Saccharomyces cerevisiae S288C: one gene and its partners. The main gene of each other region encodes a partner of the protein of the gene in region 2 in a complex. Each region holds a gene or a part of one and is shown on either strand. Other genes may lie near its edges.

Region 1 (3,446 bases), on a different chromosome or scaffold from region 2:
AACGGCCTCTAATGTCATACCTTCTTCGCTGTGCAGTTCGTCTATACAATACCGCATTATGTTAAGCATTGCCATTGCGGTAACTTCATCTTTTGTTTGCGATGATAGCATCACCCCAAGAAGGACCTGTAATCTGTAGTCCCTCGGTGATATCTGCTCTTTCGAGATACCACACTTAGAGGCAACCGTTACAGGAATGGATGATCCACCAATTATATCGACGGGGGCTAGAATCTTAGATCTCAGTACTCGCATTCTAGCGTATGTTTCTTGAAACTTGTAAGGGACTTTCGTCGAGGCCGGAGTGACAAGGATCGAGGGGTCCAATGGTGTGGCCCACCTGTTGGGCACATTGCCGTTTCTAACCACAATCCATTCGAAGTACTGCTTATTTGGCAGCGATTTAACCCAGTCGATATCCACGGGTTGAGGGACAACCTCTTCTTGTTTGATTTTGGTCCTTTTCTCCGGTAGGAGTTCTGATTCTGGCCCAGTTTCAGTCTTTACCAGCGGTCTTTTCCTCAGAATTGCCATAGATGAGTATTTACTGATCTTTTGCATATTTTTTTTTTTTTTGGGCTATAAAGTATATATAGATACAAATATATGATGAATCATTAAAGAGGAGGTTATTACTAAGTGAAAGAAAAAGAAAAAAAAAAAGATCAAAACCAAACTTCGTATTCGAGCCTAAAAAACAGAATATAATGTTATAATACTAATAGAAGCAACAGGAGCACCACTATCAGCACAAGAATAATCACGCAGTTGCCGTTATCCTTGAACCTAGAATTGTTAAAGCCATGCATGGACCGAGAGGCCCTGTTCAAATTCCTACCATTATTATCAATCAGGTTTTCTAAATCAACCAGCAGCGAGTCGTTCTGAGAAACGATCTCATTATTAAGGTCCAGCGAAATGTCATGAGTCCTCCCAATAGACTGAGACAGTGCGCCCAAGTGGGAATCTTGCTCTAACAACTGCTGTTGCTGGTTAATAAATAGTTCTTGGTTGGAAACCATGGGTTGTGGTGGCTGTGGCTGTGACTGTGACTGTAACTGCGATTGCAATGGTTCATCCTTGTATGGAGTATGCGTCGAAGGCAGCGGCGACTCCTCGTCTTGTTCATCGTCATCCTTATACATGACCGTAAGCTCGTCATCATTCTTGAACCGCACTTTTTTCAAAGACTCTTTGGACACCTCATCAGTATTTCTTGCCACCTGCTGTTGGAACCTATACAACTCCTTGTCAACCGCCGTATCAGGAATTTTGTCCAGTATGGTATTGTATCGGGATATTAGTTCATCATTGGGCGCACACTTCTGCAATAACTCCAATATTGAGCCCAATTGCCGTTTCAAAGTAACGTTATCGTTTGAGGTCGGGGCGAGCTTCAACACCGACACTAGCCTTGTTCTTTCTTCGACCAGATCAGAGAGCTGGTCCAGTTCATAACCCAGCTTCAACACATCCATACCGTGTGTGCTTACGCATCTATTTGCTGTCGTGAGATCTGTCTCTATGCTTTATTCGTTTTCCATTGTAAAGTCTCAGCATTTATTTCTTGTTCTTTACTTGTTTTTGCCCTTTCGGGTGATCAAAGTCGTGCTGGGAAATTTTATTCTTATAAAATGATTTTTAGAAATAATAAACTCATAACAGTGCAACGGCAAAGTACAAGGGAAGGAAGCACAGAAGCAAGAGGAGGCGCATCGATCGTGGCAGATGAGTCAGCAAACACCACAGGAAAGTGAACAGACCACAGCGAAAGAACAGGACCTTGATCAAGAGAGCGTGTTGAGCAACATTGACTTCAATACGGATTTGAATCACAATTTGAATTTATCGGAATACTGTATATCCAGTGACGCAGGAACAGAGAAGATGGATAGCGACGAGGAGAAGTCGTTGGCCAATCTGCCGGAGTTGAAATACGCTCCCAAGCTATCCAGCCTGGTGAAGCAAGAGACGCTCACCGAGAGCTTGAAAAGACCACACGAAGATGAGAAAGAGGCGATAGATGAGGCCAAGAAGATGAAAGTGCCGGGAGAGAACGAGGACGAAAGCAAGGAAGAGGAAAAGAGTCAAGAACTGGAAGAGGCAATTGACAGCAAGGAGAAGAGCACCGACGCCAGGGACGAGCAAGGGGACGAAGGTGATAATGAGGAGGAAAACAACGAGGAGGATAATGAAAACGAAAACGAGCATACAGCACCGCCTGCGCTGGTGATGCCCTCCCCCATCGAAATGGAGGAACAGAGGATGACTGCGCTGAAGGAAATCACCGACATCGAGTACAAGTTCGCGCAATTGCGCCAAAAACTATATGACAATCAATTGGTGCGGTTGCAAACGGAGCTGCAGATGTGTCTGGAAGGGTCACACCCGGAATTGCAGGTCTACTACTCGAAGATTGCCGCGATCCGTGACTACAAGCTACACCGAGCGTACCAGCGACAGAAGTACGAGCTTTCATGCATCAACACAGAAACAATCGCTACCAGGACATTCATTCACCAGGACTTCCACAAGAAGGTCACCGACCTGCGAGCCAGGCTGCTGAACAGAACCACGCAGACCTGGTACGATATCAACAAGGAGCGCCGCGATATGGATATAGTCATCCCAGATGTCAATTACCACGTCCCCATCAAACTTGATAACAAGACGCTGAGCTGTATCACGGGCTACGCCAGCGCAGCACAGCTGTGCTATCCCGGCGAGCCCGTGGCAGAGGACCTCGCTTGCGAAAGCATCGAGTACCGCTACAGAGCCAACCCGGTGGACAAACTCGAAGTCATTGTGGACCGAATGAGGCTCAATAACGAGATTAGCGACCTCGAAGGCCTGCGCAAATATTTCCACTCCTTCCCGGGTGCTCCTGAGTTGAACCCGCTTAGAGACTCCGAAATCAACGACGACTTCCACCAGTGGGCCCAGTGACCGCCACACTGGACCCCATACCACTTCTTTTTGTTATTCTTAAATATGTTGTAACGCTATGTAATTCCACCCTTCATTACTAATAATTAGCCATTCACGTGATCTCAGCCAGTTGTGGCGCCACACTTTTTTTTCCATAAAAATCCTCGAGGAAAAGAAAAGAAAAAAATATTTCAGTTATTTAAAGCATAAGATGCCAGGTAGATGGAACTTGTGCCGTGCCAGATTGAATTTTGAAAGTACAATTGAGGCCTATACACATAGACATTTGCACCTTATACATATACACACAAGACAAAACCAAAAAAAATATGACTCTACAAGAATCTGATAAATTTGCTACCAAGGCCATTCATGCCGGTGAACATGTGGACGTTCACGGTTCCGTGATCGAACCCATTTCTTTGTCCACCACTTTCAAACAATCTTCTCCAGCTAACCCTATCGGTACTTACGAATACTCCAGATCTCAAAATCCTAACAGAGAGAACTTGGAAAGA
Region 2 (2,968 bases):
TATAAGACCCGTCCGGTTGAAAAGATAATTGAACAGCCGTAAACCTAATTACAGGAATCGCTCTCAATTGGTAAGATTTACACGATTAGAGCTTGACTTTTGGCAGAGTTTGTCACAGTCCACGTTTTGTTTGGCGCCCTGGGGTCCTTTTCATAAAATATCGTTTACTACCGATTCGGAATTAATATAATCTGAGGGCCCCGAAAATGGCTTAGTTACACATATTATAACCAGTCTAATTAAAAAAGCAAGCACCTAGGACGGCATGTTAATGTATGGAAGAAGAGTATGAATTTGCAGGAGAGTGAGACAACCAAACTATCCAGTTATAGAAACTTATAAAGTGAAGCTTTTGTTATATAGTACAACGCATCGTATATTCCTCAAAGCAATAATACAGAAGTAGCGCAGCAGAATGATATTTTGAATTAAATTAAATACACACATGGCGCCAACTAAGGTTGGAAGGGAAAGAAGGACGACCAATATTATGTCTTTCCTTAGGTCCATTTTAAATTTTTAATATACCCGTTTGGTTCATGAGGTTTATCTCTATCTAGTCTTTGCTTAATGACAATACTATAGATACCGTAACTCAGTCCATCGTGTATAACGGTGGCTTCCGATCCCCATTCCCGCGATGTTATATCAAATCTTTTTACGCTAGGATACTTTTGTAGAGTAGGCAAAAACAACAACTCCACCTCTAGATCAAAAGGTGTGCCTTCCAGTAGGGGAAGGTTACCTGTAACATTATCTTGATTAGTTACATTTACAGGGGTTCTTCTCAATTTGTGAAATGAGCCACCAGAAGGCGCTCCAATTTTGAACCCGCAATGTCTTAAAACTAGTATTGGGTCTGAGTCATCAGAATAGATATCACATCCCCATATCTCATTATTTCTCTTTCTAGGAGATTCTATATTATTGAAACTTGCCTGAATATCTTCATATGTTATTTTTAGCGTTGCAATATTATTGATATTTTGAATACCGATAGCTGGAAGGAACGGTGGTGGAAGAGTGTTGTCATAAAGGTTGTATGGAAAACTGTGCCTGTCTGAGTAACTTGTGGAGTCTTCATCAAAAGACCCTTCTTTGAAACGATTGTAATAAAGTGTACCCAAGTTTTTTAACTTGTTTGGATAGTGTTTCTCAGTGAAAGCAAGAACCGACTGTGAACTTACATTAGGCAGGTCGTAGGCCGAATTTCTGCCGTTTTGGTAATGCATATACTGCTCTGGAAAAGAATGGGTGTTGCTTTCTTGTCCCTCCTCTTGCTTATTTTTTGTTCTCGCCGAATTTAGTAGTGTTTCCTGTAGTTTATATATCTGGGATTGAGTCTCTCTGTACGCCCTATTAGGATCTTGTTCGCTTACCGACATTTTTATCTTATATTGTATTGTTACTTCTCTCAAAAAAAAAACTGCGAGTAAATTTTCCCTTACCTTCGTACTAAAATACCGTTATTTGTCAAAACGCTGTCATGGAATTCTATAGCACTTGATGCCGGAATGGAGATGCTTATTCTTGTGTTCTACATTCATGAAGTGCTGATACTATATTTTGTTTTCCCGAACCTCTCCCCTTCTGGGCCCTTTTTCCATTATTCACAATATTTTCATACCTTTACCTCCGTACACCAATCTTTATTTTTACCCCCATACCTTTGTATTCTGAAATTGAGAAATGATTTGTGGTGCTTTTTTTTTTGGACAATCTGCCTTCGTGGACAGTTTTGAAACGCTAGGCGACAGTTTTGCAACGGAAGGAAGTGGGAGAGCCCAGAAAGGCTTTCTCTCGATGGTGGATCATTCTTGCGCAGGCGGAGGATGGGAAAGCTCCGTTCAGGTTTGCGGCTTTTCTTTCTGGCATTTTCGTTCTCCCAACTGCGCAGGCAGACATAGCTTGACTTTACTCATGCTCGCATTAGGCGGGTTGAATCTCATAGCTTGAAAGATAGTATTGAATTATATTGAAGATTTTATAACTAGTGATAATTTCATTCAAGTTTTAAAGAAAGAATTAATAAGCAAACAGAACTCAATCAAAGGAAAAATGGCCGGTTTGAAAGACGTTGTCACTCGTGAATACACCATTAACTTGCACAAAAGAGTATGTGAAAGAATAAAAATATAATGCCCAAGGGCTTGTCATCTGAATGGTTAATTAAGAAGATATTTCTATAGTCAAGGAATACAATATCAAGAATTTGTACCACAGAAACCTATCAACAAAGATCATTGATCAAGATATATTTTATAATACGGAATTTGAAGACCATAATCAATATTATAACATCCAAGAGGGGAAAGATACACTTCGGCTGGACTTAAAGAGCGATGAAGACAGAAATAGTTATCTTAAATAGTGGAATCCTAGATTTTAAGTCGACAATTATCCATATCCCAAGTTTGACTAAATATGAATCAGAACAAATTGGGTCTCCAATATACAAAACCATTCATCAAGATTACACTAATATTAAAATGAACAATCGTTACTAACAAAAAATTTACCATTTTATTTTTAATAGTTGCACGGTGTCTCCTTCAAGAAGAGAGCTCCAAGAGCTGTCAAGGAAATTAAGAAGTTCGCCAAGTTACACATGGGTACTGATGATGTCCGTCTAGCTCCAGAATTGAACCAAGCTATCTGGAAGAGAGGTGTCAAGGGTGTTGAATACAGATTAAGATTGAGAATTTCCAGAAAGAGAAACGAAGAAGAAGACGCCAAGAACCCATTGTTCTCCTACGTTGAACCTGTCTTAGTTGCTTCTGCCAAGGGTCTACAAACTGTTGTTGTCGAAGAAGATGCTTAAATCAATTAAATAAAAATAATACTCATTTTATATTAATAAATATAAAGTAAACATTTTCGATTTGTATAAATCTCTTGTACTCAAGCCAAGACTTCTGTATTCATTGAAGCGGGGCACTCAGATCAATTTTTATCAATGATATCATCT
Region 3 (4,010 bases), on a different chromosome or scaffold from region 2:
CACTAATCGTTCGCTTTCTGAAAAGTGCATCAGAACTCTTGCATTTCTGAGAAACGTTGTGCTTATTAAAATAATCATTATCCAGGGTGCCATCATGTGTTAAAACTCTACGCAAACCTTTGAAGCTTGCGTTACTCTTTGCTCTCGACCTAGTCGAAAACTGTCTAAATGGCTTTGACTGGTGTGATACTGTTGACGCATTAAGAGATGTTACATCAGTGTCTGACTTCAAAGTCCTTCCTCGATGAACCATAATTATAGTTACTCAGTAAGGATATATGATATATCCCAATATCTATGTTTACCTGACCCGTAAATCGATAGAATGTGCTAGTCCATTAGATGTTTGGATTCCTTAATCATCGTGCCAGCCAAATCGCTATACCATCCGCAACTAGCTATCCTTGCGGTTACCCGTACAAGAGTAAGCTCGGTTGATAAAAACAACGTTGAATTAGTCGTTTTTATATCCATATAGATGTATATATATGTATAGATGTGTTTGTTCGCCTCATTACAGTTATACTTTGGTTGAGAATAATATTGCAGTGTTTTGCGTTTATTGAATGGCATTAGTGTTATTTGAATATTTTTTCTCCCATAGTAGTAACTCTCTAGTCAGGTCGTCCATCATTGATAGACTTTCATTATAACCGTTGTAAATCGTATCAACTTTTTCTACGAAATGCTGGTTTTCCACGAATCGTACAAATTCCTCTCGATCAGACTGATCTTCACTCAATTCCCATTGAGTTCTAGAAATGAACTCCAAAATAGCGGATACCCTTCTTCTCATTTCGTTTAATGAGGTCCTTTGAGGGGGTAATCTGGGCTTTACTGGTTTGTCGGTACCTATATCAGCACTCCTTCTATTTTGGTTGGTGTCTGAACTTGTATTGCTTCGACGAGTTCTGTTGCCCTTTCTTGCTGGTTTGGAAACTCTTTTAGAACCCCTCGAACTAGCTTTCCTTGAATCATCCTCAGAAGAAGATATTGAGGTTAGGGGTAGGATGGGTTCATCAGTTTTCTCAGTGTCTTGCGCCGAACCCGTAGAAGATTCCTTTTCTTGACTAGCTTCTTTTTCCACATCATTTGTTTTTTCCATTGATTGCTCTTTCGATGGTCGTAGGCTTTCTTTCATATCATCATTTGTTACCGAGTCCGGTTTGCCTTCCGTTAGCATAACATCCGTTTGTAATCGAGTGGTGCCGTTGTGATTGTCGGTATCACCTTGGTATATATCAGCATCATTTTCATAACTTTCAGGATCTTCTTGATGTGATGTCCTCCTGCTTTCTTTCAAGGCTTTTTCAAGCATTCTTTGATATTGCTTTTCTTCTCTTGCCATGAAAGTTGCCCTTTTTCTATCCAGTAGCTTCTTATCACTATCTCCAGGATCCAGTGAATACTGATCGGTAGAAGCATCATCCATTGAATTCCTCCTCCTCCTTCTACTTGACCTCGTGTTGCCGTCCTTGGCTAATGCTACAGCCGAAGCTTCATCTTCTACTTCATCTTCTTCGTCGCCGATATCGTCGACGTTATCATCGGTATTGCTGGTATTTCTGGGACTTTTCTCTGCTTCATTGGCGGCATGAGATTTACTTGCAGCTGCACTTCGTGCCTTCCTTCTTGATTGCCTCCTTTTCTCTTGCACAGGTTTATAGATTGACCTTGCTTCGCCAGTATCTGTGGTAAAGAGCTGATGTAACTCCGGTCTGCATTGCTCGCACCAATATTTATCAGGTGCGTTGTCTTGAGTAATACTCACACAATAACCGTGCTGCCAGGAACTGCACTGCTCACATTGAATGAAAAATCCGGAGTCATCTGGAGTATCGAGCTCTCCACAGATACAGCGAGTTTCGCCTTCCTCTTCCTCGACTTCCCCCTCTCCACCTTCCATAGGAACATCTTCTTGTTTTACACTTTCTTCCTGTACACTTCCAATCGCCGCCGTTGTTGTCGCTGTTGATGTTGTTGATATAATGTCTGTGGACCCACTAGCAATGACTTCCGCTTTCTCCATATCTTCACTACCCACAACAGGGCCTTTAGGCACTATTGCTGTCGATTCCATTACTCTTCTCTATACTCCTATATGTTTATGCTATCTTTTAGTAAGGTTACGCAAAGTAAACTTCGAAGGAAACAAACTATTGATGGTCTCTGTTGTGAACTTTGTACCCCTGTAAATACCCAGTTACATAAAATTCATATACGAAAACCAACAAGAACAAAAAAGAAAAAACTAATCAACAAAACGTTATTTTTTGATCATGCAGTGAAAAGCCACCAATAGAAAATTGAAAATAGAAAATGCAGCTGATTGTGCTGTGCGGTTTACCTAGTTTACCCATAGCGGAGAAATTTTTCAAAACTAATTGATTACGTTAAAGCCTGTCTGCGACGTGCTCCGTCCTATTTCCGCAAGATGATGAGGGTAATGCCCTTTATAACTGCTCAAAATAAAAAATAACCGCCGAGGTCTTTTTAATTATCAAGGTTATAAGAAGTGCCAGAAGTGGGTGAACTTAACTCAATAAAAAAATATTAGTGACGAACATCTATCAAAAATTGAAAATTGAAGGTACTGCTCAGAGAAACTGAGTCTGGTCTTGCCTACATCTTTAAGAGGAATTTGTTCTGGTGTATTATTTATACAGCCGATAACATTGATGATACTCTCAGGGTCATTTTCACGTAGTCGTGCTTTGGTGAGTTGTATACTACCCTACGTACTTTTCACCGCTTATGTTTTACACTGGGGTCTGAATGATAGATTTAAGCCTAGCATACACATCGGCGTCTCACAAAAAACGACGCTGCTGAAAAAAAAAATGTAAGAAAAAAAAAGTGGAAAAATATGAGCATGAAAAAACTTCTGCTAGCGGACCTCATCGTTATTTAGCTTCTCATTCCCGCCAATTGAAGTTGCTCATTGAAGAAGAATAAGTGATTAAAATGAAGGACTTGTCTCATTATGGTCCTGCGCTATGTGTTAAATTTTACAATGATTATGTTCTAGCTGGTTATGGGCCTTTCATCCATGTCTATGACTATCATTCGGCTACGTTGATTAACAAATGTAGGCTATTTCACTACAATAAAGTTCATGGACTTAGCCTTTCTAGTGAAGGGAAAATTTTGGCCTATGGTGCAAGATCAGTAACAATAGTGGAACTTGAAGACGTTTTAAAGAAAGAGTCATTGGTGGATTTCGAAAGGATTAACTCAGATTGGATTACCGGTGCTACATTCAGCTTTGACAACTTGCAAATATATTTGTTAACATGTTATAATAAAGTGCTAATTTGTGATTTAAATTGTGAAGTTCTTTTTAGGAAGTCTCTTGGGGGAGAAAGATCTATTCTATATTCCGGTATAATTAAAGTTTTCGGTCCGGATAAAGTATATGTTAACGCTGGTACTGTAATGGGCGGTGTTATCATTTGGGACCTGTTCTCGGAGACAAAAATTCATAACTTACTGGGTCATGAAGGTTCTATCTTTTATGTTAATTTAAGCAACAACGGAAGATATGTTGCCAGTTGCTCTGACGACAGATCAATTAGACTGTGGGATTTAGAAACTGGCAAGCAGCTGTCTGTTGGCTGGAGCCATACGGCAAGAATATGGAATTTAATGTTTTTTGATAATGATTCAAAACTAATAAGTGTTTCTGAAGATTGCACATGCCGTGTATGGAACATTATCGAATCACGAGAAAACGTTGCCGAATTATCCATATCTAACGTTTACGAAGTACATTTAATCAAGAGTATATGGGGCGTTGATGTGAAAGACGACGAAATGATAGCTGTAACCTCCGGGAATGATGGTAGGTTAAAGCTGATTGATCTTCTTCAACTGAAGAGACACGGCGATGAAGAAACATCGTTCAGTCTAGATGATATCGCAAAGCAATGTGGCGATATTTTCGAAAAGAATGAAAGTATCAAGGGATTTCAATGGTTTTCATTCGGTGTAATTGCTATCACTTCATTGGG
Region 4 (3,837 bases), on a different chromosome or scaffold from region 2:
TTTTTTGAGCGAACGAATTTCATGCAAATTAGAAGGTAGCCAACATATAAATATATGAATATATATGTGCCTACGTGTTTGATGAGGTTTTCAGTAAAATTAAGCGGAAAGTATTGAGCTTTCCCAACTGATCCCTTTGATTTATTCTCTTTCTAATTCTTCAACTCTAAGGATAAAGTTTATTTCTTTTTGATTTTTTTTCGCATTGAGAAAGTGAACATAAACAAGGGTAAAATAGGCTCAATATCAGTTCACCTTTGAGAGTCTGGCAATAAGAGATGTGGTTCTAAGGTTACCTTATACATTCTAAACTCTGAAAACGCGTTTTCAAAGGTATGTACATTTCTCTATATTAAAGAGTAGATCCTTGCCGTTTATATATACATGTAGAGCAATTCTCAAGCTAATAATTAATGTTTACTTCAGACAATAAAACATTAAAAACAAATTTTTAGAAAAACAAAAGCTGAAGTAAAGACTAAATATTACACAATTTATTCATACATTTCCGCCCCAAACTCAAACAGCCTAAATAATATAAAAATTAACTTTTGGCAGCTCCAACCTCTCTACTGCCATCTAAAACTTTTCCAGTAAACGGCTTATATACAGTTAACAACCCGTCACTATCAACTGTAGCAACTAGATCCTCAATGTATTTGTGATAAGCAACGGTATTAACCTTATTATTTTCTCCTATTTCTCTTCTGCAGCCCTCAGTGTGATAAAATGCCATGCTTTCGGCCTCCAATTCGTCAGATATTATGCCTTGAAAGTCCTCATGTATCTCGTTATAAATGGCAAAAACAGGTTCGAAATTCCAGTGGTAAACATTACCTAACCCTCCAATTGTAACCACTTCCATAGGCGAAATGGAAGAAAACTCTATTTTGGACACTTGCTCGCTATAAAAGTGATGAACTTTGAATAGTTCATTGACTTTATTATGTCCTTGGTTGATATTTAACTCAGCATCAGCATCCCCTAAAGCGATAACTGCACGTATATCCCAAACCTTGAGAGCCCCACCACTAGTTCCCGTCATAAATAATGTATCAACAAACGGTGATGCAGCAAAACAAGTTGTTTTGCCGTCCAAAGAATCGTTTAGAATCCAAAGGGGCTTTTTGCCTATCTCATTACCCCAAAACCTTATGATACCGTCATCAGAACAAGTGGCGAATATTTGATTATTCAAAAACTTGATTTCTTGAATATTCTTTATGCCAGGAACAGGTATTGTACGAAGCACTTCTCCTATTTTACCTGAGTTGTCTATCAATTTTATTGTAGCGTTTTCATTATCAAGATGTTTTTCCTTAGTTACTGTTAAGGTTTTTGAATCGTTAGAAATTGCAAAATCAACACAGGGTTTATTTTGATTTCCGGACGATGCTGAACTTAGAGAAGTGGATGGCTCCATCATTGTGTAAACGGGCGATTTGACACCTTCTCTGAACCATGCCAAAGAACCATTGGTAGAAAGGGCTATCACCTTTACATTTATTTCGCTGTTATCCACGTAAATCATCTTTGCAATCGTTTCACCTTTAAATTCCCATTTTGGAATCAAAACAGTCTGCTCCACCTTTTGAGATTCCATGGTATAATCCGGTTGTACTAACGGTTCTGAAATGCTTTCAGGTTTTTTGTAATGAAGTCCGAGTGGCACTATACAATCCACCTCAAAGATTTCACTCCCTTGAGAATATAAAAGTGGTACGCTCAAAACACCTTTGGATTTATTACATGAGCTATCGTTAGTGAAAACTATACTCCTAAGTGTCGATGGAGATTCGTCAACGCCTGAGCCAAAGATAGGCTTCAAACTTGAAATATGTTGGTATAATGAGGGTATTGATTTTTTCCAAATTTTGAATTCTTCATTTTTTATTTTGTTGTCTTCTGCAATATCTAAAGTGCTCATTTTAAGTGATTAAAGAAGGAAATAAATACGATACTGAAGGTATGCGGCTGAGGAGTGGTGCTTTTTCATTCATTCGATCATGAATATACAAAGTATTGCTTGAAAAAATCAATATGCGCTTATTAAAATTTCGCAGCAAAATCGGCCGAACCCTTGCAAAACAGAGATAGCTCCGCTTTATTCACGTGAAATGGGGTCGAAATTGAAGACTATCCAAATAGGCGTTGCCTATGCAAGGACGCTCCAATTGATATATCATCACTACGAAGTATATATATATGTAGAAACTGATATTTGATTAGGCTCCAACGCCGTTACAAACCTCTTCTTAAAATTTCCTCATAGTATTGTATATTTAGTTGCTTTTTCCTGGCCTGTATCAGATGTTGCAACCTTTCTTGCATAGATTCTAAAGAGTCAATCTGCTGGAGGTATTGTTCCTGATTAGTAGACACCCAATCCAAATGTCTGTTACACTTCCACTTCGTGCATACCTCATGTATTTTGGTGGCTTCCTCATTACTTCCAAAATCTCTGACAAATTCTTCCACAGAGCAGGGTATTCGCTCGTATGTAGAACAATAGCCACATATATTTTTCCTAGCCCTACTCCTGCTGCTATTTTTCTTCTTCTTCCTTTTTGTCCCCTTGGAATCTTCTTTACCACATTCCACATGGCTTGCAGCATCATCGTCCAGCTTGCGCATTTCGGTATATACGTTGTCTAACCATCCCAAATATACTTCCAAAAGTTCTAGCTTTTTTTTGAATAATGGTAGCGATATCTCTTGAACCTCTTGCAGATCATCTTCAAGAGTTTTTAACGTCATGTCTCGTACAACAATTTGATCGAATATTTCCTTTTCGTCATCTGTTTTTACAACTATATTGTTATCAATGAAATCCAGTTGTCCAAATTTCTTGAATTTATCTATGTGTCCTGTTTGTTCGACCATTTTCTTGACGACTGCTCTATCCTCATCTGTTTTCAATCGCGACCAAATATCATTCACAAATTCTCTACCATGTTCCTCAGAACAGTATTTACTATCCTGTAAACATGGTTTGTAGCAATCACTTATCCTACATTTTCTTTTCCATAAGGTTTTTGGCAAGCTCCCTTCACCATTGATTATGGCGTCCTTATTCTTACCAGTAATCCCCGCTTGACAGTAAGGACAATAAAAAGAGAACACCAGGTCCTTAAACTGCTCAGGAATATGAAGGCAGGTGAAATGAAACCAGTCATCACAACCATCACATCCCACCATCAGCTCCCCATAGTCTGGCCTTTTACATATGCAGTATACGTCCTCTCCTGTAGTTGGATTTCTTTTTAAGGTGGAATGCGGTGGACACCATTGTGGTAATGACATTAGAAAGATAGGCTGAGAAATTATTGAGGTCGAAGTAGCCTTTTCCAAATCTCTTGTTTTTTTTCTTCTGATGAGCTTCGTTTACATTTAAAAGTAAGCATTTACAAAGCCCAATTGAAATTGTTCATATTTTACCCGCCTTGGGTTATATGCAGTGTCTAATATGTAGCCGAACATATCAATTGATTCTAAAGAGGTAAGCTTAATCCTCTGTGCTTTAATTCATCTTAAAAAGTTTATCTGTTAAGTCTATCGAATATCGCCAAATTTACTGGCGGTATATATAAATAAATATGGAAAATATGAAAGGTTGATAAAAAAAGTTTTATGCAGTGAAAAAAAGGAAGAAGAAAATGGATCCATCAGTGAAGAGAAGGATTCATGTATCTTCAAAGTCTGATTGACCTCTCCATCGACAAATTATTTAATAGTTTGTCATAGGTAGCAGTGACTTTGACTTCACAATTTGGGTCGTCAGTTGAGACTGCAGGCAATGTTTCTACGGATCCTTTATCGGTATTGGGCGCAGATACA

Evidence for each region.
Region 1: RXT3 (region 2) and DEP1 share a complex: the UniProt entries of both Saccharomyces cerevisiae proteins name them as parts of the RPD3C(L) complex.
Region 3: RXT3 (region 2) and CTI6 share a complex: the UniProt entries of both Saccharomyces cerevisiae proteins name them as parts of the RPD3C(L) complex.
Region 4: RXT3 (region 2) and UME1 share a complex: the UniProt entries of both Saccharomyces cerevisiae proteins name them as parts of the RPD3C(L) complex.

The regions. Positions count from the first base shown.
Region 1 is NC_001133.9:127,542-130,987, forward strand, and holds DEP1 (Rpd3L histone deacetylase complex subunit DEP1), read left to right. Parts: upstream 1-1,728; coding exon 1,729-2,946; downstream 2,947-3,446. Other genes in the region: bifunctional N-glycosylase/AP lyase NTG1, read right to left, coding at 1-561; SYN8 (syntaxin), read right to left, coding at 711-1,478; cystathionine gamma-lyase CYS3, read left to right, coding at 3,258-3,446. UniProt on the Saccharomyces cerevisiae protein: Component of the RPD3C(L) histone deacetylase complex (HDAC) responsible for the deacetylation of lysine residues on the N-terminal part of the core histones (H2A, H2B, H3 and H4).
Region 2 is NC_001136.10:320,168-323,135, forward strand, and holds RXT3 (Rxt3p), read right to left. Parts: upstream 1,386-2,968; coding exon 501-1,385; downstream 1-500. Other genes in the region: 60S ribosomal protein eL31 RPL31A, read left to right, coding at 2,059-2,115, 2,537-2,821. UniProt on the Saccharomyces cerevisiae protein: Component of the RPD3C(L) histone deacetylase complex (HDAC) responsible for the deacetylation of lysine residues on the N-terminal part of the core histones (H2A, H2B, H3 and H4).
Region 3 is NC_001148.4:201,491-205,500, reverse strand, and holds CTI6 (Cti6p), read right to left. Parts: upstream 2,081-4,010; coding exon 560-2,080; downstream 1-559. Other genes in the region: TCO89 (Tco89p), read right to left, coding at 1-253; tRNA (34-2'-O)-methyltransferase regulator RTT10, read left to right, coding at 2,965-4,010. UniProt on the Saccharomyces cerevisiae protein: Component of the RPD3C(L) histone deacetylase complex (HDAC). Responsible for the deacetylation of lysine residues on the N-terminal part of the core histones (H2A, H2B, H3 and H4).
Region 4 is NC_001148.4:289,125-292,961, forward strand, and holds UME1 (Ume1p), read right to left. Parts: upstream 1,928-3,837; coding exon 545-1,927; downstream 1-544. Other genes in the region: SPP1 (Spp1p), read right to left, coding at 2,242-3,303; protein phosphatase regulator GIP3, read right to left, coding at 3,693-3,837. UniProt on the Saccharomyces cerevisiae protein: Catalytic component of the RPD3 histone deacetylase complexes RPD3C(L) and RPD3C(S) responsible for the deacetylation of lysine residues on the N-terminal part of the core histones (H2A, H2B, H3 and H4).